2 linked regions of the Nothobranchius furzeri genome follow. Each later gene encodes a partner of the first gene's protein in a complex. Links are inferred from orthologs where the notes say so. Each region holds a gene or a part of one and is shown on either strand. Other genes may lie near its edges.

What was found.
Region 2: the proteins of xrcc1 (region 1) and aplf are in contact, whole or in part, in a crystal structure (PDB 5W7X), measured with the Homo sapiens proteins. The link is inferred for Nothobranchius furzeri from reciprocal best matches to the Homo sapiens genes XRCC1 and APLF. Residues at the interface, in NP_006288.2 of Homo sapiens: Pro514, Tyr515, Ala516, Gly517, Ser518, Thr519, Asp520; in NP_775816.1 of Homo sapiens: Arg27, Gly28, Pro29, Gly32, Ile33, Thr34, Lys36, Arg37, Val38, Ser39, Arg40, Arg41, His58, Asn60.

What each region holds. Positions count from the first base shown.
Region 1 is NC_091745.1:68,574,833-68,579,271, forward strand, and holds the start of xrcc1 (DNA repair protein XRCC1), read right to left. Parts: upstream 2,866-4,439; 5' UTR 2,638-2,865; coding exon 2,587-2,637; intron 2,506-2,586; coding exon 2,413-2,505; intron 1-2,412. Other genes in the region: sialic acid-binding Ig-like lectin 5, read right to left, coding at 4,144-4,290, 4,391-4,439. UniProt on the Homo sapiens protein: Scaffold protein involved in DNA single-strand break repair by mediating the assembly of DNA break repair protein complexes. Negatively regulates ADP-ribosyltransferase activity of PARP1 during base-excision repair in order to prevent excessive PARP1 activity.
Region 2 is NC_091746.1:29,723,738-29,727,442, forward strand, and holds part of aplf (aprataxin and PNK-like factor), read left to right. Parts: intron 1-1,598; exon of another isoform or gene 1,599-1,708; intron 1,709-1,781; 5' UTR 1,782-1,836; coding exon 1,837-1,929; intron 1,930-2,033; coding exon 2,034-2,102; intron 2,103-2,210; coding exon 2,211-2,371; intron 2,372-2,456; coding exon 2,457-2,595; intron 2,596-2,874; coding exon 2,875-2,986; intron 2,987-3,198; coding exon 3,199-3,362; intron 3,363-3,705. UniProt on the Homo sapiens protein: Histone chaperone involved in single-strand and double-strand DNA break repair.

The sequences.
Region 1 (4,439 bases):
GCCCGATATATTTCAAATGTTTATTTCTTTAAAGGTGCATTATGTAGAAATGAAGTAAAAATGTGGTAATATTTGTTTACTGCACCGCAACCATTTTAAACAACTCTGGAGATTTTTTGCTGGCCGTTGTCAAATTACAATTGTCGGCGCAGCAGTATTAGCTCACAGGAGACACGGCAACCCCACACTCACTGATGGTAAACAGCAGTCACGTTCCTCCTTCCTTTGTTAAGACATGAGAAAAGCTGACAATCCCCACAGCCAGCTGGATATGAAATACGTTTCAGTATAATCTTCCTTCCAAAATGACTGAAACATTACTCTTTTGGGATTTTCTCACTGTAAAATTCTCCCTATATTCTTACATACTGCACCTTTAATGTTGATTATAACGGCCAACTAATGAAAATCCAAAGTTCAGTATCGCAGAAAATTTGAATATCAATTAAGACTAGGGGTGTAACGGTTCACGAGGGAGTGTTAAACCGTTTCGGTTCGGTCCACTTGCGTATCGTTTCGGTTTATTTTTTCCGTTAAATAATGAATATTTATTGGTGTGATTCAAGTGCAGCGGATAAAAATTCCTACATGAGTTTCTGCACGGACACTGAATTGAGTGACGCATGATGGCTGCACGCGCCCAGTCTCTGTAAAAAAAAAGGCGATGTGCAAATTCTGACCAACACCTTTCAGAGCGGATCAAACCAGCTGGCTGTCGCTGCTTCTGGAGTCTGTAGAGATGCTGAACGGAGCGTCACCTGTCTCCCTTCTCTCACACTGCAGGCACGCAGCAGCAAAAATGTAAACAAACACGTCTGCTGAACTTTCCCCTTGACAACTGATGTAAAGTTTTCAACCTACAACCAAACACCCAGGAAGCACGTTCGTTTTAAAGAAGAAACTCTGGGTGGTGTGAGGTGAGTTTTTAAGGCTCGCTGCAGAAATAAACTGTGAAACTAATGCTACGGAAGTTCCGGAGGGCCAAAAAGGCGCTATTACATAAATTACACTTTTTTTTTAAATCACCCGCAACAAAAAATTCGAATTAATTCATTCAATTGATTTATTGCCCAGGCCTAGTCCAGGATATTGCATCCTCCTCTTCACAATATCCCATAGGTGTTCAAGTGAGTTTCCTGGTCAATCAAGAACGGGAATACCATGGTCACTGACCCTGTGTGCAGGTGCCAAGTTCTGTTGGAAAATTAAATCTGCATCTCCATAAATTTGGTCAGCTGCAGGAAGCATGAAGTGCTCTAAAACTTCCTGGTAGACAGCTACGTAGACCTTATACCTCAGAAAACACAATGGACCAACATCAGCAGATGACACTGCACCCCAAACCATCAATGACTGTGGAAACTTTACACTGTACCTCAAGCAATGCGGATTATGTTTCTCTCCTCTCTTCCTCCAGACTCTGGGACCTTGATTTCCAAAGGAACATAACTTTGGATCACTCAGCAGCAGTCCAGTCCTTGTCTTTAACCCAGGCAAGACGCTTCTGAAGCGGTCATTTCTTCAAAAGTGGATTGACACAAGGAATGCGACAGCTGAAGCCCATTTCTTGAATATGTCTGTGTGTGGGTGGTTCTTGAAGCACTGACTCCAGCTGCAGTCCACTCTTAGTGAATCTCCACATTTTTTAATGGGTTTTGTTTCACAATTCTCTCCTGGGTGCAGTTACCCCTATTGCTATTACAAGTTTTTCTACCACATCTTGTCCTTCCTTTTGTCTCTCTATTAATGTGCTTGGACACAGAGCTCTGTGAACAACCAGCCTCCTTATCATGACCGTTTGTGTCTTGCCCTCCTTGTGGAAGATGTCAATGGTCATCTTTTGAATAACTGTCAAGTTAGCAGTATTCCCCATGGTTCTGTAGCTTACAGAACAAGACTGAGACCATTAAAAGGCTCTTTTTTTTTGGCTGATTAGAGTGTGGCACCTGGGGGCCTTCAATATTGAACATTTTCACAATATTCTAATATCCTGAGATACTGAATTTGGGATTTTCATTAGTTGTCAGTTATAATCATCAAAATTGAAGAAATAAACATTTGAAATACATCAGTCCGTGTGTTAAGAATGCATCTAATATACAAGTTTCACTTTTAAAAGTAATTACCTTTTTCATGAAATTCTAATTTAATGATCAGCACATGAACATGCTCAAATCACTTGACTTTAAAATGTTATTGTGCTACATTCAGATATGTCAATTAAAGTTGAGTTCAAACGCATGCTTAAAGATCCATCTCTTTCAAAACCCTAAAAACATCATTCTATAATTTAAGCATTTTCTAGGATTTACAACTGAAATAAAAGCCTGATTTAAATATCTCTGTTCAGTGTCACCTGGGCAAATAAAAACAAACTACCGACATTTGACATCAAAAGGGCCAAAAACCAACCTGCAGAATGACTGATGTCTGTTTCTCTCCGGGTCTTGCTGCTTTCCACTTTCTGTAGGTGTCTGAGCTCAGGAGATTGTCTGCTTTATGCGTCTGTTTTATGTTGAAAGTGGGTTTAGTGGAAGCTCAACAGCAGCTGAACATCGACTTTACATGATACAAAAAAAAACTTACACTGTCCTCTGAGCTGCAGGACACGACATGTTTCAGTTGGATTTCTGGCATATTTTGACAAGTTCAAACTTACTTAACCATAAAAACCGTCAACCGAGCGCTTTAAAGATCTAGCGAATCCGTATCAGGTTCAAGACACATAAAACGAAACCAGATTTCGTTTAGTGGCTGTACTTCTCTCGTTAGTCTGCGTTAAACAAGCTGTTGACTAAGCTGATAGCATGCTAGCAAACAATAGATAGTGAACTTTTCCTCATTCGTTTGGTAATTCGTTGTATTTAAATGACTGCTGCGCACAAAATGTTTACACTGCTGTATGCTTGACAAATACCCGTTTCTTTGTCAGCAAAGTAAACTACTGAATTTTCGTGTTAACACGCTTAATTTAACGTAAAACGAGCGAAAGGGTGTCCACATTTTCCCACCAAAAGGCTGCACATTTGACAACCTGACGTAACTTCCAAACAACCGATTTTCTGTCCAATGAGAGCGTTTCTTTTTCTTCTTCTTTTACCATAATTACTTTACACACGTGAGCGCCCCCAAACGGGAGAACTGTGAACTGAGACATCACTAATAAATAGTTTTAAAGATTTAAAAATGTTAACTTACTTTTCTTTTGTTTATATCCTGAAAATGTGTTTTATTTTATAAATTTTAGGGCAGAATTATTTTAGTATTTAAATGTGTGGCAGTGTGAGCGTCCTGTCACAGTGTCCCGATTGATATGCGCCCTGGCTGGCTACTAAGCCAAAGAGATGTTTGACTGACTGGTTCGGTTCGCGCGCGTGACCCTGCTCGGGCCTGCATGTAAATATAAAATGTTATTTTAATACTGTGTAGTACTATTAGTTATTTATTGTATTTAATCTTTTAAATTTAAATTATTTCTGTTGTTTTGTTCATATTTTTGCTAATAATAACAACCCACTTTTATTGTCATATCAATTGTTTTCAGTATATGTCATATATACTTAACTGAAAATGTTCTAAATCTGAAAATAGTTATCGACTGAAGCTGTTTATTTTGCTTTTTCTTGGACAATGATATAAAAGAACACCAAATGTTTTTGATTATTGTAAAATAAAGTTGTGAGGAAAAAAGTTAATACAATCACAGTTTTTACATTCCTGCCCAAACATAAAAGCAGTGATTCTTTATTTCAAAATGTTTTATATTCAATAACAACTTTATTAATGCTCAAATTAATTATCACGGGCAAAAACAAACAAACAAAAAACATCCATAAAACGAAAAATTTCACTTTATCATCAGAAGGGTTAAAGCCAGTCTGTGGGATTGGTGCAAAGTATCATAACACCGGTTGTCCTAAAGTTTAATCAGAAGTTGAACTTTAAGATCATCTGACTAGTAAAACGTTTGGGCTGAAAAGAAAAATTACTGACGTAACAAAAATTGTAAGAGTGCTTAAGCTCAACAAGATTCCAGATATCTGAATCAGTGAATGCTGCAGCAACATGTGGCGGGAAACATGAATGACTGATCCTCCGGAGTTCGGAACCATTTTTAATCATTATTTTATGAGAAGAAACAGTTCAGAGGACCTCCAGGTAGATGCCTGTCTCTGGATCAGCACCCTGCACCTCCCTTGTTGCTCTGACCCCTACACCACCTTGTCTATCAACACGTCCATCCTCTCTACCTCTTTTTCTCTCCCCACCTCTTCGACCCATTGGACGGAGCTAAAAAGGGAAAAGAAAAACAGATTATCAGAATAAAAAGTGGGGACATCCACAGATGTCTTCTGTGAGAAACACTTCCTTTGAAAGTACAAATTCATACCTGCTCATTGTGGACAAAAAGTGGTGTGCAGTTCTGGTACACTAGTTGG
Region 2 (3,705 bases), on another chromosome or scaffold:
CTTTATTGTTGTGAAACCACAATATCTATTAACAATAAACTACATCCCCAAATCCGTTGTAGTGACAAAACAGCCTTTTCACTCCCAAGTTGTTTAAAATGTACTGCAATACCATTTTAAGCCGGCAGATGGCGGTATCTGTCCCGATTGCAATGACAATATTGAGAAAACTAACAGTTTATCTCTTTTTATTCCACAATCCACATTGGTAGCAGTTGTCATAAATTATTTCAGAAATTGAGAACTGCTCTGGCGCTCTCCATCTGGCTCTGGTGCTCCCCTGCTTTTCCTGATTCTGTACCGGAGGCCGGTGACCCACCGCCGGTCTTCCACCCGGAAGTGTCTGTGGATCTTCCACTAGATCTGTCACGGATTCGTCTGGGGGAGCAACAAAAATGATGGAAAAAATAAATGCATTAACGCTTCTGATTGCATTACACTGTATATGCATGAAGTGACTGGGAAACGCATTTGTAAACCGCTTGAAATATTTCAAATATTTTCGGTGACAGCCTTGTTTGTTTTGATTTTGTTGATAAAGTAAAAAATAAAAACGTTGGCATGATGAGGCCGATGATGCAATAAGTGCTGCAATTACTGAGGTCACTACTACAGCCGCAGGTACCGTGGCAGCAGTGGTAGGAGGCGTGGCTAGTGCCACTAAAAGTCGTGGTAGGGGGAGTGGCTAGTGCCACTAAAAGTCGGAAGTGTAATGGCAGCAGTGGTAGGGGGCGTGGCTAGTGCCACTAACAGGCAAGAGCAGCAGTGGTAGGGGCGTGGCTAGTGCCACTAAAAGTCGTGGCACCACCCGGAAGTGTAATGGCAGCAGTGGTAGGGGGCGTGGCTAGTGCCACTAAAAGCCGCGGGTGCCACTAAAAGTCGTGGCACCACCCGGAAGTGTAATGGCAGCAGTGGTAGGGGGCGTGGCTAGTGCCACTAAAAGCCGCGGGTGCCACTAAAAGCCGTGGCACCACCCGGAAGTATCAGAGCTGCCACTGTAAGTGCCACAAGCGCTGCCGCTGCCACAAATCGCTCCTGCTGTCTCTCCGGTCGTTTGTACGGTTTGTACACACGTGACGTCATCACGTTTCGAGTAACTTGCGTATGCGTAGAATGCTCCTAGCTCCTACGTATGTGAATTTTGGAAGAAAAAAAACATTACATTTCGTTAAAAATATAAGTATAAATTACATAACCGAATTAAAACAAGTCAAAAACACAAATGATGCTAGCCGAGTTGTCAGAAGACTCACCCTCATTCATTTCCTTTCTAGTTTTTTTTCTTTCAAGTCTCCACTGGACTCCATTTAGAAATTAGCCCATTTTACAAAGATTCTAACAAATAGGAAATGATTACAGCAAACGTCACGAGTCAGTTTATTTCTCGAATTTCTCGTAATCAGGCTTTAGCTCGGTTACATGTAGCCTTCTATTTTGTTGTTTCATAAAACCACTAAAGGACAGAAGCAGAACCCTTATTTTTGAATCTGGAATTTACAAAAACAGAATTGAATATAATTATCTATTTCTGTGTAAAATGTGATGGTTAAAAACATAGACTGTACATACGGTTAAAAATAATGTGACGTTGAACGTAGTTTGGCTAATTTCCAAACTGCGCATGCTCAGGTTCATCCCGGAAGTTTTGAATCTGCAGCAGACAGTAGAGCCAGCGGCCCGTCCGCCCAAAGGAGAGCTCAGACATTAGGTCTGGATCATTTCTCTTAATCTTTCAGGTCCCGTTTTAACCTCGTTAATCCTCGTGTTCTGTCCCACCACAGTTGGACCGGAACCGTCGACGGACCGGAGGATTCTCCGGTCCCGTCTCCTCGCCACATGTCCGGATTCGAACTCGTCCCGGTTGAAGGCGGAGATCCAGTACACCTTTTGCCGGGTGAGACTGTGTTAGGCCGGGGTCCGTTACTGGGCGTGAGTACTCCAGTCTTTAGTCTGGCCGAGCCGGTTCTGATCCGTGTACCGATCCCTTCTTTGGGTTTTACAAGTCTGACCCATCCTGTTCTGCTGTTTCTCAGATCAGTGATACCAGAGTGTCGCGGAACCACGGGCTCCTGGAGAACCGGAACGGACTCAGACTCAAACCGGTACCTTTGGGTTTCTGCTAGTTTAGTTTATTTTTTCCAGCATTGCCACCTTGCGTTATTCTTCTGGCCAGTTTTACACACCCTGCTTCACTGCTGTATGACCTTTAGACCCACCTGAACCCGTGTTTCGTTCAGTCCTCGCTGGATGATGACCCTCGACCTCTGCAGAGAGGCTCCTGGCACCAGCTGCATCATGGAGACCTGTTCTCTCTGCTGCCGGGTCGACTGATCTTCAGGGTGGAGGCTGTTGAAGAGGAGCACACGCCCAGGTACTCCTGCTTGCTTTGAGGCTGATTTCAGATCAGGTGGAGCTTCACTCAGCTCTCACTACCGAAACATCCCTGTCCTCCACAGGAACAGTCAGAACTATGAAGATGAAGCTACCAGACCAGATGTGGAATCTTCTCCAGGTGTTGAACCGGAACAGAATCGAGCTTCACCTCAGCCAGCAGCTCAGAACGGGGGCGGGTCCAACCGTCTCAGCGTGAGACCGGTAAGATGAAAGGCCTTAAAATGCTGATCTGGTTTCTGGTTGTAGCCCGGAGATCTTTGATGGAGATGATAAGTAAAGACACAGGAAACGGGAGTCACGTGATCATATGGAGTAAGCAGGCTCCGCCTCCACAGCAGAGTCATTTTCATTAATCACCAAAGCTTTTAGATTAAATTATTTATTCACTGAAAAAAAAAGCTTAACAATTTATTTGATGATTATTTTTGGATTTGTTTCAGTAGATTTTTAGTTTTAATTCGCTGATGTTTTCCTCTTTAGGACAAACCGACCCAACAGGTGGCCGGAGCTCTGGAGGCTCCGTCTGCTCCCAGGAGGAGGGTTCTACCAGCATGGATGTCTGCAGCTGTCTCAGCCGGGAGTCTGTCCTCAGGTCTGAAAGGTTCAAGAGGGTTCTGATGTTCGAGGGTTCTATGGACAGTCTCAGTTAGAGAAACCAGGTCATGCAGAGGTCAGGGGTCAGAGGAGGTCAGGCTCAGCTCAGAGACAAACTTCGAGGTGGACGTTAAAGTTCTGATTTGAGTTCAGTGTTTGATCAAAAGCTGTTTCTGGGGTGATTTGTGGTTTCTTTCTTTGCTTGTTTAGTTCCGTCGCCTGTGAAGAAAAACAAACAAGCTGCTGCGCCGGCCACGCCCACTGTCACATCCTTACCAGATGGGGCGGAGCTCAGTGATGAGGAGGAGGAGGAGGAGGAGGAGCCAAGAAAAAGAAGAAAGATGAGCAAAGATGAAAAACATCAATCTGAAACAGTTGAGTTCTTCTGCTTAGAGATCCGGACCAGAACCTCCGGTCTGGAACGGGGGTTCTGGTTTGGGTTTCATGCTCAGTGTAAATCAAACCCAGCAGGACTTCTTCTCTTTCTGGAAGGGTTCCACCTCTCATCCTAAAGGATCTGAAATGTTCTGGAATATTAAGGCTCGGAAGAGATCTGAGCTCCCCCTGAATTCCGTACCCGTGTAGAACATCACGTTTTCTCTGCGTGTTTTTCTGTCCTCTGGTTGGTTTAAACGTCCTTTTGGTCTCCTGGATGATTGAAGGATCATCTCTTGTGTTCCCTTCTCCCATCATGAGGACATTTCGAGCTCCATGAGG